Linked DNA regions of Schizosaccharomyces pombe. The gene in region 1 interacts genetically with each later gene. Each region holds a gene or a part of one and is shown in the gene's direction. Other genes may lie near its edges.

Evidence for each region.
Region 2: mutations in rtf1 (region 1) and mod21 together harm fitness less than expected from each alone (positive genetic interaction), as found in Schizosaccharomyces pombe (one large-scale study listed by BioGRID).
Region 3: mutations in rtf1 (region 1) and mug184 together harm fitness less than expected from each alone (positive genetic interaction), as found in Schizosaccharomyces pombe (one large-scale study listed by BioGRID).

Annotation. Positions count from the first base shown.
Region 1 is NC_003424.3:4,795,866-4,803,064, reverse strand, and holds rtf1 (RNA polymerase I termination factor Rtf1), read left to right. Parts: upstream 1-3,937; 5' UTR 3,938-4,136; coding exon 4,137-4,575; exon of another isoform or gene 4,576-4,622; coding exon 4,623-4,789; intron 4,790-4,834; coding exon 4,835-4,922; intron 4,923-4,961; coding exon 4,962-5,073; exon of another isoform or gene 5,074-5,111; coding exon 5,112-5,444; exon of another isoform or gene 5,445-5,489; coding exon 5,490-5,641; intron 5,642-5,688; coding exon 5,689-5,798; 3' UTR 5,799-5,870; downstream 5,871-7,199. Other genes in the region: sec24 (coincidence detector Sec24/Sfb2 subunit), read right to left, coding at 530-3,310; 20S proteasome complex subunit beta 6 Pam1, read right to left, coding at 6,909-7,199. UniProt on the Schizosaccharomyces pombe protein: Mediates site-specific replication termination at the polar replication barrier RTS1, a barrier which ensures that replication of the mat1 locus in S.pombe occurs in the centromere-proximal direction.
Region 2 is NC_003424.3:246,339-254,078, reverse strand, and holds mod21 (gamma tubulin complex GCP5 subunit Mod21), read left to right. Parts: upstream 1-3,152; 5' UTR 3,153-3,308; coding exon 3,309-3,472; exon of another isoform or gene 3,473-3,529; coding exon 3,530-5,399; 3' UTR 5,400-5,500; downstream 5,501-7,740. Other genes in the region: fatty acid elongase Elo1, read left to right, coding at 365-489, 1,327-1,687, 1,742-2,353; nucleoside diphosphate kinase Ndk1, read right to left, coding at 5,696-6,151; SPOM_SPAC806.06C (nicotinamide mononucleotide adenylyltransferase), read left to right, coding at 7,669-7,740. UniProt on the Schizosaccharomyces pombe protein: Component of the gamma-tubulin complex that is required for the regulation of both interphase microtubule organization and nucleation, and mitotic bipolar spindles. Required for correct septation.
Region 3 is NC_003423.3:295,934-303,367, reverse strand, and holds mug184 (protein mug184), read left to right. Parts: upstream 1-1,976; 5' UTR 1,977-2,153; coding exon 2,154-2,203; exon of another isoform or gene 2,204-2,259; coding exon 2,260-3,137; intron 3,138-3,293; coding exon 3,294-4,021; downstream 4,022-7,434. Other genes in the region: asparagine--tRNA (Asn) ligase Nrs1, read left to right, coding at 1-1,386; alpha-1,2-mannosyltransferase Omh4, read left to right, coding at 4,275-5,597; Ran GTPase-binding protein Sbp1, read left to right, coding at 6,215-6,662, 6,835-6,963, 7,062-7,132. UniProt on the Schizosaccharomyces pombe protein: Has a role in sporulation.

The DNA of each region.
Region 1 (7,199 bases):
CATTCTTAAATTAGTTTTTCAATATAAGTGAATACTCGCCTGGATATATAATCTAATTGCAATGAAAATGAAATTTAATAAATATTTAATATTTTTTTTATGCTTTAAATAGAAGATGTGAAGCTCTAAAGTGCGAAATTGAAAATCTATACACTGCAACTCAATTGTAATGAATTAAATTAAATTATTAGAACCTTTTGTTATTCTTGGAACAACTTCAACATCAAGTAATATGAAAATAGACAAGGTATAAAAGCTAAAATTTATGTACAAGCTGGCTGGAAGCTACATGTACGCAAATACCTAATTTAGTTTGATACATATATAGCTTTCATCAATATAAAAAGCACCAAGTATATTTACTAGATCAATTATTTAAATTTTTTTTTTCTTAAAAATACAAAAAACCAAAGAATGTTTAACCATATTGAATATTATTAATTAATCATGTCACTAATTCAGGCATATATTACCATCAGAACAATCAATTTAAAAAAGTTTTGTAGAAAGTAGCCAGATTTTACAGCCTTTAGTCACGAACTTTCTCTTTAAGAGTCTGCAAAAACTGTAAATAGCTGGGAGAGTTCTCACTACGATCCTCGACGAAGTGAGAGAAAAACCATGAGCGCAATTGTGGATCACCATCACCACGTACAAGGTAAAGACTAGGCATAATAGTTGAACCTTTATCCAACGAACGAAGTTTACCGAGAATCGCATTGATACGAACGTTAAGTGGGTTGTCTATAACTGGCATTGTAAAACGTCCAGCTTTCAAATCCGCAAGAGAGTTTACACCAAATGCGTCTATCAGTAGCTGCGGAACTGCATCTTTACCAATATACAAAAATTGATGAATGTGTGTATCAACCAAATATAAACCAAAAGATTGCAACAAAGCTGAAGTAAGATTTAACGCAGAAGGGAGAACTACACCCTGTTCTGTAACAGTTCCTGCTTCAATAGGCATATCGTGCAAAGAATAAAGAGTTGGATAAATGTAACGCATTAGTAAAGGAGTTGGCAGAGTACTTAAATAACATAGAGCAATAGAACGAAGGTCAGATGAGATATGACTAGATCTTCTGAATCCAGTATGCTTCGTCAATGCTAAACAAAGCAATGGTAATAGTCTTAAATTGGTGCTTATTTGAAGCGGGATCGCAGCACCGGTGTTTTGTCCAGCCAAATTTTTTTTGTAAACTTCCAAAATTTCTACAAGCTTACTTATAATGCTATCACGGGCTTCGTTCAACGTAGAAGAAAGAGCCTTTTCACTAGCCCGGACAGTAAGATATTGTGCAATGGCAACTTGATCGGCTGATGCATATAAATCAGTCATACTATTGGTAGTAGGAAGAGAAATAGTCAGTACACGAATCCGTCTTTCACCGTTACAAGTAGTATGGAGCATAGCTGTTTGGAAAGAAACAAAGGGCTTGGTGATAGTGTCCTCAATAACAACCTCTACTACATAACTCTGATCGCGAGGAAAAGAAGGAAACGCACATAGATCACTTGAACGATTAAAAAAGTTTCCGTAGAAAGAAGACATACGGAGACCGTTAGATCCACGAACACGCATCACCGCCTCTAGCTCAATCTCCATACTGAGATAGTTAGTAAGTTCAGAAGCAAATTTAAGAGCGTCCTCGCTACGGGAAGCATTCCACCTGTGATAGAATTGGGTTTTACCAGAGGTGTATCTAGGAAGGCAACTTAAGGTTGCTACATCTTGATACTGAGAAGAAAAAAGAAACATATCAACAGAGACTTGAGACGTGGAGCATTCCACCGCGAAGGATTTATAGAAGGAGTCATTGGGATGAAGAAGGCTAGATTCACGATTTGTTCCCAAAAGTTTAGGATCTTCACGTAACTCCAATTTACCAACACCAACATTAGGAAGACTCGAAATGAGACAGCAAATTTTACCGCCAATATTTTCAATGAGACGATGGGCAGCCTTAAGACCTGGTCCAAGGGCATTACTAGAATCACGGGTAGTTGCAAACATTGATTGAAATCGCTCGAGTAAGTTTTCAATGCCTTGTCTACATTCGCGTAAATTAAGTAACAAATCTTGATTCCTGGGTAAAAACGGTTCCTCTAAATCAGAAACAACTAGTTGGGTGGCTTCTTCAGCACCAGGGGAAACTGAAAAAAAATGCAGGGCACTGTCTACACCAATAAAAGCCACCTTTGCACGTCCTTCTTTATTGGGGATGCGATCCAATGATTCCAGAATTGCACGACTTGCAGTACCAACCATACCAGAAGATATGGATACAAACGAAATATCAATTAAAAATACGTAAACCAAAGGTTGTGGAGCACGAACCATATATTCTTGAGGAGCAATAAAATCAACAACTGCATAATTGAGCTCAGGACGTTGCCAGCGATCACGTTGGACATTTCTGAAACTGTCCCAGTCATATGACTGGGGTACTTCATTAACAATACCACAAGAATTACAGCGATAGCGATGGCCATTGTCAATAAAGATACTAAAAGGATTGATATACATACGACACCTGCGGCATCGTGATATAATAGTATCAGTAACAACTGGAACTGGATCATCTTCTTCGACCAAGCTAGTATATGGACGGATGACTAATGCAAATGGAATTTTTGACTTTTTTAACAAGCTATTTGTTGTCGGTACACAGTTTATCGTGGATCGAACATATTTGGGAGGGCAATTGGAAGTAGCTGCTCCAGTAGCGGAATAGCTTAAGGGTAAATTAATAGGAGGAGGAGGAGAGGTTAAGTCAGAAATTTCTGGTGTTTGATTGTACAAATCAACAGAAACTAACTCATTGGTAGGCATAGCTGCTGCACCATCTGCTCCAAGTGACATTCCGCCAAATTGTGCAGAGAGAGATTTAGTTCCCACCTCTGCGCGATCATGAGGATATGGTGAAGAGGATGGAGTTCGTGCCATAACGTAAGAGGGCTCTGAAAGAGAAGGGGGAGCCGGTGACGCTGCTAAGGTATTTGTAAGTTCAAACACCTCAGCAGGATACTGTCTACGAGACTTATGAGAGGTATGAGAAACGGGTGGTTGTTGATCGACAGATCCTATTATGTTGGTAGGAGCAGCACCCATAGCTCCAACAGCGTATTCACCATTGCTTACAATGCCTTCAGCTGTACCCTCAGCAACTGCCCCGACATAAGGAGCGGTATTATCTAGCTGGCCAGCAACTGGATAAACTGGCTGAAATCCTTGAGGAGGTATATTCGAATTTCCACTACTAGCTCCATAACTACCCTTTCCGTAGAAAGCGTCCTCCTGACTCATTGCTTTAGTGTATTTTTTTTTACTTACAGTGGTATATTGCTAGCAAAAAAAAGAAAAGAAACACTGAATTATTTAATAACTTTTTTGAAGATCCCTCTATTTTTCCTTCCTTTTCACAAAAAGACGTTTTTAACAGTGTTCCCTGGAGTAGGTAAATGGCAGCTACATTCGCTGGTTCAACTAACGTAGATGGAAAGTTAAGGTAATCACTGGAAAGTTAACGAGCTTTACAGTTTCGTTATTAAATACTATGTATCGTAGTAATTATATCGGTGACACACGTTATTACCCTAATAATTTTAACATAGGCAGGAACTTTGTACCTAATTGATAAAAAATAGTGATTATTAGTAAACAAAAGCCAATAGAGATATTTTATCGTTTTAATTTATTCTTTTTTTTTTTTAAGTTTGATATGAGGCAGATACCTGTAAACGTTTTCAACTAAAAAAACTCTTCTAAACCACTCATACTTAATTTTCTATTTTAAAAATTTTACATGTATATATCATAAACAAGAGAGTCACATCTTAAGAAATTTTGAAATTTTTTTAAAAATGCTCTCAAAAACCATCACTGCATGTATCGTACACTATTTAGCTACACCAACGCTCTATAATGTTACCCAATTTTAACAGGCTCACTAGTTAATTAGAATTCAGAATTGCAAAGTATCAAAAGTTCAATTATAGATTGAATAATTGAAGTTGCCTGCGCTATTTGGTTTTGTCTTACATGAACTATTACACCCCGGGTCCCTTGCTATACTGATTACCTTTTGTCAATGTTTTTTTCTTAATATTTCTTCAGACAAGTGAACATTATTATGCAAGGAAAAAACAATTTAAGTTGCAGACCGGATACAGAGGACAATGAAGAGCTCTTTGTCGATGATCAACTCTTATCACCCATTGGTGACTCGAAAAATACAAGTTCTTTCATTTACTTGGGAAACCCCATAAGCTTTCATGAATACAATTATGATGAGACTATGGTATCACCTGAAAATGTGAAAACAGCAATTGCTGGAAGTGCGAAAGACCATGAAACATGTCGAGGCTTCAAAAAAACAGGCACTACTTCATATAAAGACTTTGTATTCAGTAGAGATTACACCAACTGGACACCCACTTTTTGGGTTCTGTTAAGTCAACTAATTGATGAATTTTTGAAAGAAAGCGAATTAAACTTTGTGGCTGCGAGAGATCTTCTTATTAAAACCAAAAGACTTCCAAAACCTTTCAATAATTTACTCATTCAATTTCGTATGACACCTGAGTGCTTTCAAAAAAATCCGCTAATTCAAGTCTAGAAATTCAAGTGCCCAATGTTTCACGAAGGACTGTGTATAGGCATCTTAAGGGATATTTTAACATTCCAGGTTATGAAAGGTTTCAATACGTTAAAAAAGCGTCGTCTGGATCATGGGGAGCAAACGACATTATCACTTTGGAAAAAGAAATTGCTATGTTTAAAAAGGTATGGTCTTTAGCTTGCTGTTTTATTATAAATATTAAAAAACAGAAAAAAAATTGGTCTGATGAACAATTTCTTCAATATGTTTGGTCTGATAACCATCGTGATGAAATGAAAACATTATATAATTGTTTGTGTAAGTCAATTACTATCACTTGTTACTAATTAATAATAGATGAGCTTATCGATAGGGATAAAAAGAGTATTTACAATTATCTCCGCAGAAAATATAATCCATTTAAGAAAAAATGTAAATGGACTATAGAAGATGAGGCAGAATTGAAAAAGTATGTAGTTTACTTTCCAAATTGCAACTAACTAATAGACTTGTTGAAAAACATGGAACATCCTGGAGCTTAATTGGCAAATTGTCGAATAGACTACCAATGCATTGCAGAGATCATTGGCGCGACTACATTCAACCTGGTGAAATCAATCGTTCACCATGGACTATCCAGGAGAAAGAAAAATTAATCAAAACGGTTAATCAATACTTGCAAAGCAATCCTTCATCCCCTATTCAATGGAGTCTAATTTCTAAAAACATGAGAAATCGACACCGTCATCATTGTAGGTGGAAGTATTACACACTAATTTCCAGAGATATACATAATAGTTCCCCTTTCAAACTTGGCGATAGTATATGGTTAATTGAAAGGTACTCCAATTATAAAATTTTAAATAAGAAGCTAATTAAATTCAGAATGATGGACCTTAATGTTGCAGAGGAACGGATGATTGATTGGAAATGCTTATCAGAATATGCTAATCACCTATGGACAGCAGATGCTTGTAAATCGCATTTCGAAAGAATAAAAAAAACCTTGTTTATCGATGGACTTTCTACGTTTTCTGGTAAATTTTTGAATATAATAATTATTGTTAATATGTTAACGCTTTAGATACTTTAATTCATTTGCACAAAATGCTAAATTCTTCTCCTGAAGAAACTTACATTTCGAACTTACATGATTCTTACACCGCTTTTTCTAACGCCGATGATTTATGCTAGCTACATGAACAAATTTATTTTAACTACTTCCTCAAAGTCATAGATTTAAATTTTTTGTGTATTCATTGAGAGAATGTTCTCATCTTACTTATATTAGTAAATTCACTTTTATATTTTTTCTAGTATACATTTGTGTATGTAACCTGTTTGCCGTGTAGTCAATAAATAAAACAAATGTGGATAAAAAGGAAAAATAGTTTCTAACATTGGAGATGCCGGGAATCGAACCCGGGACCTTTTCAAGGTGCGAACTATGCGAATGAAACGTTATACCCCTAAACTACATCCCCAGTCGATATGATGTTATAATTTAACCCATTATTAATAAAAGGTTAAAAAAAAGAACGAATGTCAAGCTATAAAATAAAATAATCATCATCATCATTGATTAATTTAGCAAGGGTGCCTGCATCTAGTTTTTTTATCAGTCAATAACTCATACATTAACCGCATTCATAAGAGGCTATTTTGACAGGTCATTTCTGAATTTTTTGAATTAAATTAATAGTACACAGAGAGACATAAATGAAAACTAAGTAAGTTTCATTAATAATACATGAATACAGAAGTGATGCCCACAAAATAACAAATCAGATAATTCTATTTACTTACCCATCATAAATTTTTATTCATTGATGCGAAAATAAAATATGGATGAAAAGAGGTTGATTGAAGAAAAGTAAAATCATTAAATAATTTTTTCTTTATGATAAATTAGCCAAGCGTCTAGTGATTTCATAGAGTCAAAGAACGGAATTTAAATTACTGATGTACTGAAATCCTGATTTTTATGTCAAATATTCTATCACTTCCTAACTAATCCTTTTCATAAATATGACTAAAAAAATTACAAGTTTAAGTTGTTTCGAACTTATCCTCTACACATTCATAAATACGCCATGAAACTATGCAATGTACATCAAAGACAAAAAAAAATGTTTAACTTGTAAAATAAATTGAGACTAGGCTTTTCAAAATAGGGATATCTCCGATAAAATCTCATACATAATCATGCAATCCGAAATTGGAATTGAGCTTGACAGGCAGGCTGCCATTCTAGGAAGCTATATCTGTGACAGTGGAACATAAAAAAGTCATATTTACAAAAATCTAATCCTTCTTCAAAGGAATAATTCTTGTCTCTACACCTTCTTTTGTGATAATCTTAACAAGAACTGAATCACCAACCTCGATGTGTCGTTCTCCAGCACTTGTAAATGCATCAGTAGTAATCTTCATAGCTTCCTCCAATTTTAAAAGTCTCCTTGGCTTTCTCTCTTTTCCATGTGAACCAGGAACGTACTGATTATGTAAGTTCACTTGATTGTCGAGGAATGGAGTAATGAAGTTTGCAGCGGATCCACCAGCACGGCACCATTCCCGCTCATAAGAGCCAACAGG
Region 2 (7,740 bases), 4.5 Mb from region 1:
TATTGTTATTTTATTTTTTCATCCCGTCCATCCATTCCCACGGTTTTTCTGTGATTGCAGTCTGTACAGTTTAACCCCTTACATACTCCTGGAACCTTCGTTTCTTTTTGTTTCAGCTTCCGTTCCTTATTCCCTTGCTTTGGAATAGTCTTTTTCTTTTTTCTTCCACCTACCCGCATCCCCTTCCTCGCTTTTTTTGTGCAAATATCACAACGCAGTGAGCGGGCTGAACTCATCCGTATTTTCATTTAAAGAACTCGATACCAAATTCTTAAACTTCGTCCGTATTTTACGGTATTATTTGTTTTCGTTACTTGCTAGTCTCCGCCATTTGTACCCTGCAAATCTCAAATACGTTTTCATTATGCCTGACTCACCTACCCTTCACCATAACCATATTATTGGGCTTGAGAACGGGTCTCTAACCTCTAACAATAATCATCAAGGCATGGCATCTGTTTCGGTAGGACAATTTCAGTATCCCATCTGGTGAGTTTGTCGATATTATGCCTCCGCTAAGCTATTTAACTGTTTTCCATGTTTGCCATAGCTTTGCTCACTAATGTGCCTACATAGTGATGCGTACGTGAATTTCTCTTCTAGAAGATGCTTGCTTTTTTTCCACACAAATCAATCAGTATATATTTTTCGTTTATCCTTGTTCAATGCCTTTCTACTTCCGGCGCTGTTTATTTTGAATTTTCTGAAATTTTGACTGTAGACCAGCCACTTTCTGTTTTGAGTTTTCTTTGTTTTTGACACTCTCCTACCAGCATACCGGTCTTTGTTGTCGTCCTTTCTTTGCTTACCGTTGTTACACTGTCGCTCGCTATATCGTTCCGTTCAGCATCCTCTGTTAGATATTCAATTGATAAAAAGCGGATCGGTATTTCTAGTTTTCGTTGTTGTTTTTTATCATTCCGTTGTTTATTAAGATCTCCACCATGTGGATGCTTAACGGTTCGTAAAGCGAGCTCTTAGCCAATCATTTTCGCTGACGGCCCGATAGACTCGGCAGAGTAGGTGGAATCAACAAGGGTGAAAATTTCGTTAGGTTTACTGAAATTTTTTTCATCCAAAACTTTTTCATCTCAAGTTAAACTCTGTGACTTTTTAGCTGATGTTGGATTGCTGGTATTACTGATTGATTGTGGAATGTTCATCTCTGGGGTGTGTCTTTTTTTGAGGCACATCATGTGTTACTTTTGTGTGTAGTCGTTAAGTACTACCAAACATGAAAGCAAGCGTCTGAAAGAACAATAGAAATTTCACTAGTTTTAATGCGATTGAGAGGCTTTCATGTTGATTTTTACTAACAATTTTTAGGTCATGGTTAAATTCCCTGGCAGATGCCACATTCGGAAAGCGGCCATCTTCCTTTGAATTTATCGTAAACAAAACCCGCTTTTCGTCCGCCCCGGTCGTTGCAACCATCATCATATCTTACTATCTTTTAATTCTTGTCGGAGGTAGAATTATGCGTAATAGGCAACCTATCCGTCTTCAAAAGATTTTCCAATATTATAATTTGACTTTTTCCATCGCTTCAGCTATCCTTGCACTTTTGATTTTTGAACAAGTAGCCCCTGCTATTTACAAGCACGGTTTTTTCTTTTCTATCTGCAATGAGAAAGCATGGACTCAACCGCTGGTATTTTTATACTACTGTGCTTATATTTCAAAATTCGTACGTCTCCATCGTTTTTTGACCATACTTTTTTCATTCTAACATACGTTTTAGCTTGAATTGACAGATACTTTTTTCCTTGTCCTCCGCAAAAAACCCCTTCAATTCCTTCATTGCTACCATCATGGTGCCACTGCCGTTCTTGTATATACTCAAATTGTTGGCAGAACTTCCATCAGTTGGTTGATCATTGAAATCAATTTATTGGTTCATGTTACTATGTATTATTACTACTATCTTGTAGCCAAAGGTATTCGGGTTCCTTGGAAGAAATGGGTCACCCGCTTTCAGATCGTTCAGTTCTTTGCTGATTTAGGTTTTATTTATTTCGCAGTATACACGGAGGTTGCGTATCGGTTGAAGTTTTACAAAGCCTGTATGGGCCATTGCTCAGGACATCCTTTAGCGGCGTTCTGTGGTCTCGCAACAATCTCTTCATACCTTGTTTTGTTTATCGTCTTTTACCATAACACTTACAAGAAAAATGCTGCTCTCAAAATGAAAGCTAAGGCTGCAGCTGCAACAAAAGGTAACTCATCAGAATCTTCTAAAAATGCGGACTTAAAGCGTCTCTCAAAAAGTAACGCTTCTATTGCCGAGGTTAAATGCAATAATATAGTTACTAATCTGTATCCTATTTCTTCAGGTTTAAACAATGAAAAATAATGTTTTCGTGGTACCTCTTATGGTTTTTAATTACCCGATTTTGCTCTTACTTATAACTTGATATTGAGCCCTAAAGTCTACAAGTGCCTTTTTTTTCTTTGTTCTGCTTAACGTTGCATTTAGAATTACCAATTAATAGTTGGAGTGACTTACGGGCGACGATTTTGTGAATTTTGAAAGTACTTAATTGTCCGTTAGCTTTACATCCTTGTCTATATTCGATTACTACCTTTTATCCAGTGAATCCTTTTTCCCATTCCTTAATCAAGATTTATCGACGTCTTTACATGTTCTAAACTTTTTAGCTAAACCTCTACTAAGTATAGATTTGTTAACTTCGTGGTATCTTAAGGTCAAACTTGATGGTGTGATAATATAATTAAAAAAATCAGAGCCAAAATCTTTTCTTCAATATAATGTTCTGAATCTTTTTTTCCAAAGATTAAAAGTCCATTTGTTTAATATTTTATATTAAAAAACCATGGTAATACTAATGCACAACTTATGAAAAATGGGTATAAATTAGTAAGAAAATATACGTTCTAATAACAGTACTACAGTTGTGTAAGGTTGGTAAATTTCTCTGTATAACTTGTAGTCATTGCAAGTGAGCATACGGAATTCATTATTTATTTTGAAGTTTTCTTACTATTTCAGTTAGGGAGCGGCGCCGGTTAATCTAATAACAGTAAATACGTTTAAAACAAAATATATTAGTTTTTTTTTTATTACTATTATAAATGACTTACACAGCTTAACGGCAAATAATGATTAACCCCCTTCAGTCATAAATTGACTCAACTCATTTCTCTCATGTCAAACAAAAATTTTCCTTCATTCGCGATAGTATACGAAATATACACTCCTTAATCGGCATTTTAGCAATATCAGCACATAATAAAGAACATATGAGAATACAGGCAAAGCTTAATAAATGTTTTATCAAGAACTGTAAATGACAATGTCTCGTGCGGATCAAATCCTACAGCATCTCTTAAGGGAACTAATACATAATGATTCATTAGTTGCTAGTGAATGGTTAAAACATTCAAAGAAAATCATTCAAAATGTCCCTAGTTCGACATTGGTATTTCATGAAATGATAGAACATATAAAAGGGTAACGTAAAGCAGATCTGCCGATTGTTGTTGGAATGTTAAGACTAACTTGATCTAGCATCTGTGACAAAATGGGTATACAAGGTCGGGAAGATTTAGAAATGCCTTTACGAAACGCTTGTGAAGTTCTCAATCGTCAAACCGTTAGTGTCAAGCAAAGTATATTGCATGCCCAAATATTAAAACTTTTCCTTGAATTATCTAAACCACCCTCAGATATACATGTCCCACAAATTCCCGTCTACAAAGATTGCAACAAGAATGAACAAGAAGCTATAATCCAGTTATTAACTAGTTGTGAAGGAGACCACTGGTTGATGCCTGACTGGTCTTCAATGCCTGATGATGAAACCATAACAGAAGACTCTGAGGAAGAAACTTTCAATGGAAATGCTAATGAAATTACGATACCAGCCAACATCCACATCCCTATCATCGAGGAGTCTGACAACGCGTCTAACAATAAGCTATGTACTTTATTTAAAAAAAGCAAGCAACCGAATTTAGATTTTTTACAGATAAAACCCTTTATGTTTTGGGATTCTAGTTTGAACGAAACTGTCCGAATATCTGAAAGAAGTATTATTCGCGACTCTATATATATGTTGATAGGTTATCCAAGTTTTTTCTTCTTAAAAAATGGTTCAAAAATTGAAACACGACTTTCTTTATTACCAAAGCTTCATCACATGAGCGAAGAGATTCTTCGCAGTATAATGACAGAACTTGCCGATTACGGTTCTAACTTGGAATTTTTTCGACAAAAACTAACATCTCCTAGCGATTCGTTTTTTAAAAGTGATGACCAAAGTACCAAGAATGAGCCGTTTCTCTCTGTTGTCTTCATTTATCCTCAAATAAAACCACATCTCTTAAGTTGTTTAAAAAACACACACCAAGAGCTTATTAAACTCGAAACAGAAGTTTATAACGCTACAAAGAACTGTACTCTTTTTCAATTTTTTCAACATGTAAAAAAATTCGTTGATCCACTATTGTGCTTTCGTTTCGCTTACGAAAAATCAGCAACGAATATGTGGGATTTTGTTAAAACATTGGAGTTCATATATTCAACAAGGAATTACTCTTCACAAATGTTCAAGCTCTATAAAGCTTCTGCTATTGCAATGTTATTGTGGATGGTTAATCAAGCCTCACAAATTACCAGTTCTATGACTATAGCCAGGCCTCTATATAACATTTTAATCCTTTGTAAGGATTTTCCTAACAATTTCCTTGAGAAAGACAATATTGCTCTCCAATTGGGTAGTATTGTTTTTGACCAATCTCCAACTCTAAACAATTTACTTGTGGAAATGGAAATATTAATTAGAAGCAAAATTTTAAAGCTTGGTAAATCTTTGGATTTATCTTTTGACTTTCAAAGTTTAATGGGGGAGTTTGAAAATTTAATAAAACAACAAGAAGAAGCTAAAAAGTCGTTATGGTCAAAAAGATTTAGTCGTTTCTATTATGGGCATTATGTATTCGTCAACACCTGTCATAATTTTTTCCTAACACTATATCAATCTTTTACTGAAGTTGATGAAAATTCTATATTCAACGGCGTTTTTGAAACGCTTAATAATGATGTTGATGATGAATCTGTAATAGGGGAAAAAGAGAAACTTATTTTAAAGCAAAAGCAGAAATGTTTATCTGAATTTTTTGTTGATGACATAAAGAAGCTCTTAAATGAAGAGCTGCTCAATTGTCAAAAGCAAGAGCTACCAGATGTCATGGAAAATACATATCAAATTTCGACCGTTTCAGGAATTAAAAATGATCCGTTATTTACGTTGGACCAAACCTGTAATATAATAGCGAAACTAGCGGACAATCTCATACATCCTTCTGTTCCCATTGGTAGTTCTGCCTATCGATGTAGACGAAATTTGGCTGACTTATTATTCCTTATAATGCCATGATTACGATAAAATGCCATAATATTTACCATTACGTGTATAGAATCAATAGATTTCATAAAAGTAACCTTTTGGATGAGTAAAACCATACTGACTTACATGCGATTTCTCTAGTTTCATGTCGTTTACTAACGAATGATATTTGAAAAAGACCTATATCTATTAAAAAAAATGATAGTGTGCTTTAATGAAGGTAGAAAATCATTAGTCATATTTATTTGCTTTGGGTGTTGCTGATAGTTTGCATCACCCATAACAAACACGAGTCCTTTTGAAGAGGCTCTTTAACTTCTTCTTATTCATTCGTAAATCCAAGGTTCAATTGTACGATCGTAAACTTGGATTTCCGAAGGCTGGAACCAAAGTTTAATTTCACGATTAGCGCTTTCTATGGAATCAGAACCATGGCAAACGTTTCTACCAAGGTCGATACCATAATCACCGCGAATAGTGCCAGGGGCAGAATCCAGAGGGTTACTGGCGCCCAACATTAAGCGACCAGTTTTCACGGCTTGTTTACCTTCCCATATCATGGCACATACAGGGCCTGATGCCATGAAACCAACGAGTTTCTCATAAAAAGGCTTTCCTTTATGTTCGGCATAATGTTCTTCCACAAGATCACGACTAGGAACTAAAAATTTTAGAGCACGTAGTTTGTAGCCCTTCAACTCAAATTTTGAGATGATGTATCCAATCAGTCCTCGCTGAACTGCGTCCGGTTTCACAGCGATAAAAGTTTGTTCTGTCGACATATCAAAAATGCTTATACTCGGTGATATGAGGTGGTTGAGTAGATGGGAGCTGTCCCGTCTACTATCCCATATAAAGGATTACGGAGCAAGGACAAATAACACTCACAATATGATTGCATAAACAAAGCGGAAACAGATGTAAATAATAAAAAATGATAAGAATCGTTATAGTACACCTTCTTATATTTTTAGAGCACCAAGCCTCAGATATCTTAATGGTCGTAAATTATTGTTTACAAAAAATGCATATTTACAAACACATTACAAAGCATTCAAAGCGTACCCGTAGACGGTAAGCCAGTTTTGTTTTTTTACATACGTAAAAACTCTCCACAAATCAAAAGATTGTAAGGCTTATTGTATACTATATAATGGATTTGTTATTATCCCAATCGCCAACTTCTTACTGTTTTAGGACCATGTAACGAATGAAACCACTAATAAAAGTTAGAAGAACTTGTAATTGATACCAACTTAGTATTGGGATACCTGCAAAATTTGATTATCAACCAGTTGATAATAGATACAATTCCAAGTACATCTACATCACTTCATGCAAACGGTTTTTTCCGTACATATATTAGTTATCCCTATACATATAATTGTTAACATTGTCTTGATATACGAATAAGGCTTTTATGATTATTCCTAGAGTTTTATCCTTGTTTGCGAATTTATGTATATTCGTAATGGCATATACTCGAAAATCCGGGATTTAGATAAGCTTAAATCATTATATGTCTATCTAATGAGCATGACAGCCGTCTCACAATTTTACTCATAAACGGACGAGGGATAAGTTGTTTTTCTTAACAATTCAGTTGTAGTATCATCACTTTTTATTTACATTCTTTTCGAGCGCTGTTTATCTGCACATTAAGTCACCATTGTACGCATAACCATTATACCACCAAAAACGCAAAAAATATCAGTTTAAGCTGTAGGTTGTTAAAAAGAACCGTTTTCCTTTCAAAAAGGTTTACCTTTAATATTTATTATTGATATTAGTGACAAGAGGCACTGAATATCAGTTTTGAGCCAACTTTGAGGACATAAAAGTGCTTAGATCGGGAAACGTTTCTTTTGCGATTCGTCGTCAAATTTCCTCTTTTCTTTTCTTTTTTATTTCAATTCTTTTTATAGGTTATCCTTCATTCTTTTTCTACAACTGTTATTCGAGAGTTGCACTAAGAAATCACAAGTAATTCCAACCAAATTTAGACGCTGGTTATACATTATCGTTTTTCCATACCTAAAGGGTAATTTTAATTTTTTTCCTTCGTTTCCCATATCCTACTTTGCTATTCATTTTTCTTTAGAATTTAGTATCCTCTTTCTCCCGCAGCCTTTAAATTTTTGATCCTATTTGTTCGCTTGTTGTCTGTCATTATTTGGAAAAAGAGGGTTTTCTTATTATACGCGGTTTTGATCGATTTTTGTATTATTATTACCGATTCTGTTTCTTTATTGACCCGATTGTGATTGTCTACCATTCCTCGTCATAATTCCTTTTTAATATGCACACCATGAATGGGGATAATTTTGCAAATTCATTTCCGAAGAATCCCCTGTTGTCTCGTAATTCTTCG
Region 3 (7,434 bases), on another chromosome or scaffold:
GCCAAACGATTAGAAGCAGCTAAAAATATTGTCCTTAAAGAACCAAAAGACGCTCCTGCTGCTAAGAAGATTGCCATTATCGATAGTACCAATTTTCGTGATTCTCGTGTCCGTGTAAACGGTTGGGTCCATCGTATGCGTACACAAAAAGGGATTATTTTTATAATTTTACGTGATGGTACTGGATTTTTGCAGTGTGTTTTATCGGGAAAAGTCTACGATAGAGCTAGTTATGACTTTATTAATTTGGGTCCCGAGTCTACCGTATGTTTATATGGTGTAATTAAGGAATTGCCCGAAGGAAAATCAGCTCCTGGAAACCACGAGCTTGTTGTTGATTATTATCAAATCTTGCATGCTGCTCCTACCGGAGAAGAGGCTTTTACAAACCGTCTCAATGCAGAAGCGGAGCCTTCCTACTTGTTAGATCAGCGTCACCTTGTTATTCGCGGTGAAACTGCTTCTTCGGTACTCAAAGTTCGTGCTCGTGCTCTTCGTGCCATGAGAGATACATTTGAAAATCTTAAAATGACCGAGGTTACACCACCATGTATGGTGCAAACTCAAGTTGAAGGAGGTGCAACTCTTTTTAAATTTAATTATTATGGACAAGATGCCTATCTGACTCAATCTAGTCAATTGTATTTAGAGGCTGCACTTCCCGCTTTGGGAAGTGTTTATACTATTCAGGAGAGTTTCCGTGCAGAAAAATCTTTAACCAGACGCCATTTGTCTGAGTTTACCCACGTGGAGTTTGAATTGCCATTCGTGAACTTTGGCGAGTTTTTGGAAATCATTGAAGAATTCATTTGCCAAACTATCGACCGACTCCTTGATGATCCAATTGCTACTCCTTTAATTAAGCAGTTGAATCCTGATTTTGTCAAGCCTTCAAGACCTTTTATGCGTCTTTCTTACGAGGATGCGATTAAGTATCTTAATGAGCACAATATTTTGACTCCAGAAGGTGAGCAACACAAGTTTGGCGATGACATTGCTGAAGCTGCTGAGCGCAAGATGACCGATCAAATCAACCGCCCCATCTTTTTGACATACTTCCCATTGGAGATCAAATCATTTTATATGAAGCGTGTCGTTGATCGTCCTGAACTTACCGAGAGTGTTGATTGCTTAATGCCTAATGTGGGAGAAATTGTTGGTGGCAGTATGAGAATTTCCGACATTCAAGAGCTCCTTGCTGCTTATAAACGCGAAGGTATTGATCCAGCTCCCTACTACTGGTTTACGGAACAACGTAAATATGGTACTACTGAACATGGTGGCTGTGGCTTAGGACTTGAAAGATTCCTCGCTTGGTTGTGCGACCGTTACACTGTTCGTGAGTGCTGCTTATTCCCACGATTTACTGAACGTTGCACACCTTAAGCAAAGTTTATCCATATCGAAGAAATGGGTAGCTTTTAATGTTTGAACAGTGGGCGAACTATGTTGTTTACTTAGAATTTGTTTTGCAAAAATTTTTGCTTATCCTTTGAGTTTTTTAAACTTTTGATGTACATTATCTCATATGGAAAATGAAATTTCTTTAGTTTACGCTTAGAAGTAGTGAAAATGCTTAGAGGGAGAGTGTAATAAAATTTGTTTTGAAGTACATTTTCCAAGCTTTAAGTTCTTAATAGCTGTAATGACAAGAGGCTAGGTGCGAGTCAGTTAGCGTCTTTAGTAACAATAAAAGTTCAAAGTTAGTAAACATTGTTTATCATTTACATTCAATTATTTTGAGCAACAGTTGCGTTTACAAGCATAAGGTACTCATTCATGTTAGTTTACGGAGTACATGTTTTAAATATAAAGTAGTTTTCAAAACAATTTATATCTTGGACATAATTTCTCTGAAAAATACAAAGTGAACATTTCTGATTTTATTTTTTTTTGAACCATTTTAAAATATTAAACTCTGCTTAACTAGATGTCTTATGATTATAGCTTTTTGTTGTTTGCTGACAACTTATCTTAGACCTTATTGCTTAGTCCAGTTCAGAGATACCTCTAAAGTAAACTAGGTGGAGCAGTGTTCTCAATTCAATTTACATACAAAGTTTGTCGTTGAATTCAATTGAAATTGTACAAAGGGCTTTAAATTCGTCCATATAATAAGAAGCAATATATCATCAATTTCAGAATGATCTAAAATGCTAGCAAGGCCCGAAACAGATACCTCAGTGGACTATTATGCTATTTTGTAAGCTTTTTATTTTGGAGGCGTAATTTTTGATACTAACATGTAATTTATTACAGAAAACTCCAAAAAAATGCTACCTTCCAACAAATTCGAAAACAATACTTGTTCTTGGCTTTACAGTATCATCCAGATAGGAATCCTGGAGACGAAGAGCGGGCAGTAAAGCGCTTTCAAAGGTTACAGTTGGCTCATGAAGTTTTAAGTGACGCTACTAAGCGTCTCATTTATGATCAATTGTTTGGTCTTAGTACTCGTACAAGATCTCAATATAAGCCTAATTCTACTTCGAATCCCAGTAAGCATACAAGTGCGTATGCTTCCTATAATAAAGGGAAAAATTCAAAATGGTCTTCTCCATTTGCCTCAACTACGAAGAAGCCCCAAGAATCTTCCGAGAAGTATTCAAAAAAAAGTTCTACTCGAAAAAAGGAACATTTCAACAAAAAGCCTTCATTTCCAAGAGATACCGAGTACTCTCACATTTACAATATGAAATATGATCCTCGGTCAGGTATTGGTATTCGCGTAAAGAGGCAAGAACCTGAAAGCTTGAAGAAAGAAAACAATAATTCTGATTATCTTCCTAAATCAGCAATGAAACAGAAAAAAGGGGGACCGAAAGATTCTTCAAAGCATCCTTCTAATGACGGTAAAATACCAGAGTCTAAACCTTCAGTATATAAGTCTCGTGCATCCAATCTTTTTTCGTCCAATGAACAGTCAATTCATTCTTCTTTTGGATCAAAGTTCCATTTTGATAAATCCTCAAATCCTTTCTCTTTCGAATTCTCCCCATCCTCAAATGCTGCTAAACCATCGAACTCGGAAGAGTGTAACATCCCCAAATTCAATAGTTCGTTCAAAACTTCTAATGATTTTTTCACATTTACAAAAACAGAAGAAAGCTCCCCATATTCTTTTTCTTTCAAATTGGGTATGTCATCAAAAGTGCCAGAAACACCAAAGGAAGAAAAGACAAATACTTCTACAAAATATCGTGATTTCAATCGCTTTTTCTCCAAAAAGAGTGAATCAGATGTGAATTCCCCGAATTCAGTTTTCTTTGAAAGTTACTTTTCTAAAGCTACAGAAGATTCCAATACCCCGAAATTTAAGAGTTCATCCAAACCCGTTAAGAGCTCGTTTGTATTTACGAAACCAGAAGCGGAATCTTCTAATCCTTTCTCATTTGACTTTGGCTCATCAGGGCCAAAAAGCAGAAGCGATACTCGTAATAACATAAGAACACCATTATGGACGAGCAGTGTCTTTGAAAAACCGGAAAGCGATTTACCAAATAAAACTGCCTTTGGTTTCATGAGAAGCAATACTTCTACATTTAATCAAAAGTGTGACGACTTCTCTTCGGCATCATTTATGAAGGAGAAGACTGAATTTGAAGAGCAACTACAGGAAGATAATGACCATTCATTAGGTGATCTGTTTTCCAAAATCAATATTTCCACAGAATCTCCTTCTGTTGCAATGCCTTCAATCCCAGTGATTCAGCCACCATCTTTCCCCATTTTTTCATCTATTGACTTTAATGTGAGAAACCGAGAATATTGGAACCAATTGATGGTTTTTCAAAAGCTATACAGCAAGTACTGTACTGAAAGCCAACATTTTATCAACAGTTGGATCAACATTAAAAAAGAACTACACATTGTTCCTGTAAATTGGGAAATTTTTGAGAAAGTTGAGAAGAGTTGGGACCAATGCGAAGAGTTTGTTGCTGAATTTCGACAAACAGAAGAAAAGTATTTCCTTTTTTTAAAGAGGCTTCGAGAGTTGATTAATAAAAATCAAATGCTTTGAACAAATCAAGTCGTCATCTGTTAAACCATTCATCAGGGTTTTCTCAGAAATACATGATCATCCATTTTCCTTAATAAAACAAAAAGGATTTATTTGATTCCCTTATATAGTTTTCTACTAAAAAGAAAATGTATACATATATATATCAGATTAATTTTTACTACCATAATGATTATTCATAATGTTTGTTTACTTTTTGAGGAAGATTGTTTACAGTCTCACATCTGGATTTATTACTCTTTGCCAGTACAAAATGCTAGGGTGGAACAAACATGTTTTTTTTTCTGAAAGCAGGATTAATTTTCGATGCCTTTTGCGAAAAAAACTTAAAAAAAGATGTCCTTTGTCTGCACGGTTTGTACTGGTCTTACTACTGATAGTGCTAATTTTTATTTTAAAGATGGGATACAAACAACTAATTTATAAACTTAATCATCCTCCTCTTAGACGGATTGATGAAAGGAATGATCCTTTGTTTTCAAATGGCTGTAAGAACGTTCATTTGGAAGCACAGTTGCATCCGAGAATGAATGCAACTTTTGTTATGCTTGCTCGTAATTCAGACTTGCCAGGTGTTGTTTCTTCTATCAATTCATTGGAGAAACACTTTAATCGACATTTTAATTACCCTTATACATTTTTAAACGATGAGCCCTTTGATGAAAAATTTAAGGAAACCATTCTTAAACTTACATCTGCGAACGTTGAATTTGGAACGCTTGAAAAAGATACTTTTGGATTTCCTGGTAATGTTGATGTAGATGCAGCGCGTGAAGCTATTGCAAGTCAAGGAGATCGAGGTATCATGTATGGTGATACAGAAAGTTACCATCATATGTGTCGCTTTTTTTCGGGGTTCTTTTATAAGCATCCGTTGCTACTCAAATATCAATGGTACTGGCGAGTTGAACCCGACGTAGCTTTCACATGCGATATATCTTATGACCCTTTCTACTACATGGAAGAAAATGGGAAAATATATGGTTATGTTGTAGCATTAAAGGAATTAGAAGACACTGTTCCAAACTTGTTTCGATATACCTCGGCTTATCGTCGAAATAATAATTTAACCTCTAACATGTGGAAATTCTTTTTGGATGCTCCTAAAAAGGAAAACTACGATATTTCAAGAAAAGACCCTACAGTAGGTCTCTCCTTTTCCTCTCATTTAAATGCTATGATTGACTCATCATATTCAGCAGAAACATCTTCAATGGAAGGGGAGTCCTATAATATGTGTCATTTTTGGAGCAATTTTGAGATTGCAAATTTCAAGTTCTTCAGAAATGAACAGTATGAGAACTTCTTCCGTACAATGGATGCGACAGGAGGCTTTTGGACTGAAAGATGGGGAGACGCTCCATTTCACTCTCTAGCTGCTGGACTGTTCTTGTCGAAAGAACAGGTTCATTATTTTCGTGATTTAGGATATCGGCATTCTGACATTCATCATTGTGGACAAAGTCTGGGTTGCAATTGCGAATGCATTCCTGAGTTATCAGAAATAGAATCTACTTCTGGAGGTTGTGTCACCCAATGGGTGAATTTAATAGGTGATGGATTCTTAGATGAATGAGTTTTGATATCGTAATTGCATTCTCACTTAATATGCTGTTTTTTTTTCTGCACGGACGATTTACTTAACTGCAATTAATGCCAGAGTTAAAAGCTAGGGCTTACAAATATTAATTTTTTGCTTTTTTTTATATCATCTGTCTTTCACGTACCTTTTCGGATTGTTTTACTTATTTTCCAAGCTATCTAGCTGTTGAACAAACGTTTGAAATTTAATTGATAAACACTGGTCTTTTTATTCAAAATAGGTGATAATCTTACTTTAATAGTTAAGATTTAATGTAAGCATCTTTTATTTATGATGAGTATTTTTTGACAATCATAAAATAGAACAACACCGAACAATCTATGCATAACGAAGTATAAAATGTATACACTTCAAATAGTTATAGAATGTGTAATGACTACAAATGAAAAAATTTTTAGCATCTTATTGATCAGTAAAGAAGTTATACAAGAGACTAGTAGCTTTAAGGCAAAGATTTTATTAGCAAATGATTTTTTATAGATTCCCGACTAACACAGCACCCATTTCCAATATGTTTGTTCGAATACCGAGTTACTGTATATTATAATTTTTTCGTGGTACACTCTTCCTTCCATCAGCACAATACCACAATGTCCGCAGAACAAGAAAAAAAGACTCAAGGAACTACTAAAGAAGAGCAGAAATCTTCTTTTGCTAGTGAAGACGTTGCTAGCAAGCAAACAGAAGAAGCCAAAGCTGTTTTTGGTGACGGTGTGGCCAAACAAGAAAACAAGTCTGGTGCCTCCACGAACGATGAGAAGAAGCCAGCTGAAGGAGATGAGGATGCTGAACCAGCTTCCCCTGAGGTTCACTTTGAGCCTATTGTCAAATTGAGTGCAGTCGAGACAAAAACTAATGAAGAAGAGGAGACTGTCGAATTCAAAATGCGTGCTAAACTTTTCAGATTTGACAAGGCAGCAAGCGAATGGAAGGAACGTGGAACTGGTGATGCTCGTCTCTTGAAACATAAGGAGACTGGAAAAACTCGTTTGGTTATGCGTCGCGACAAGACTTTGAAAGTTTGTGCTAACCACTTATGTATGTCCAATTAGATTAATGGTTGCATTTCTAGACGTTGAAAAGACATTATGCTACGTGTTGTTGAAATACTTTTTCTTAATACATTAAAGCTCACTGTCCTTTCGTGTCTTGACTATTTCTTTTCTCTGGTTTCTCAGAATGTAGTATCTGAATACTAACTTGTTTTTAGTGATGCCCGAGATGAAATTGACTCCCAATGTTGGAAGCGATCGTAGTTGGGTTTGGACCGTTGCTGCGGATGTTAGTGAAGGAGAACCTACTGCAGAGACTTTTGCTATTCGTTTTGCAAACTCAGAAAGTAAGTTTTTTTTTGGTAGAAATACCGATGTTTTATCAATCCAGTTGATATTAACAAATAACCCTATTTCAACTGTGGTACTAACCAAACCTCGTTAGATGCCAATCTCTTTAAGGAAAACTTTGAAAAATACCAAGAAGAGAATGCCAAAATTCTCAAAAAAAATTAGTTTATATCGTCATTTATTCTGGGCTTGCTATAATAGAATTAACTTTTTTCCATCTTTTTCCTTCTCACGGTAAAGTTGATGAGTTGCTGTTGAATTTCTATGAGTCTATTTGCAGTTCTTTTAGGGTGGTATAAATATCTGAGAAAATACGTTAAAAAATATTTAAAATTCAATGAACGTCTATGTAAGTTTAACCATTGTAGAATGAAATGTATCGTACAAAGGTAAAGTTTAGCTGGTGCATGGAGCAAATGCATATTGTTTATTATAGTGAGTTGTTATAGGAGTTGAAAAATAATTTA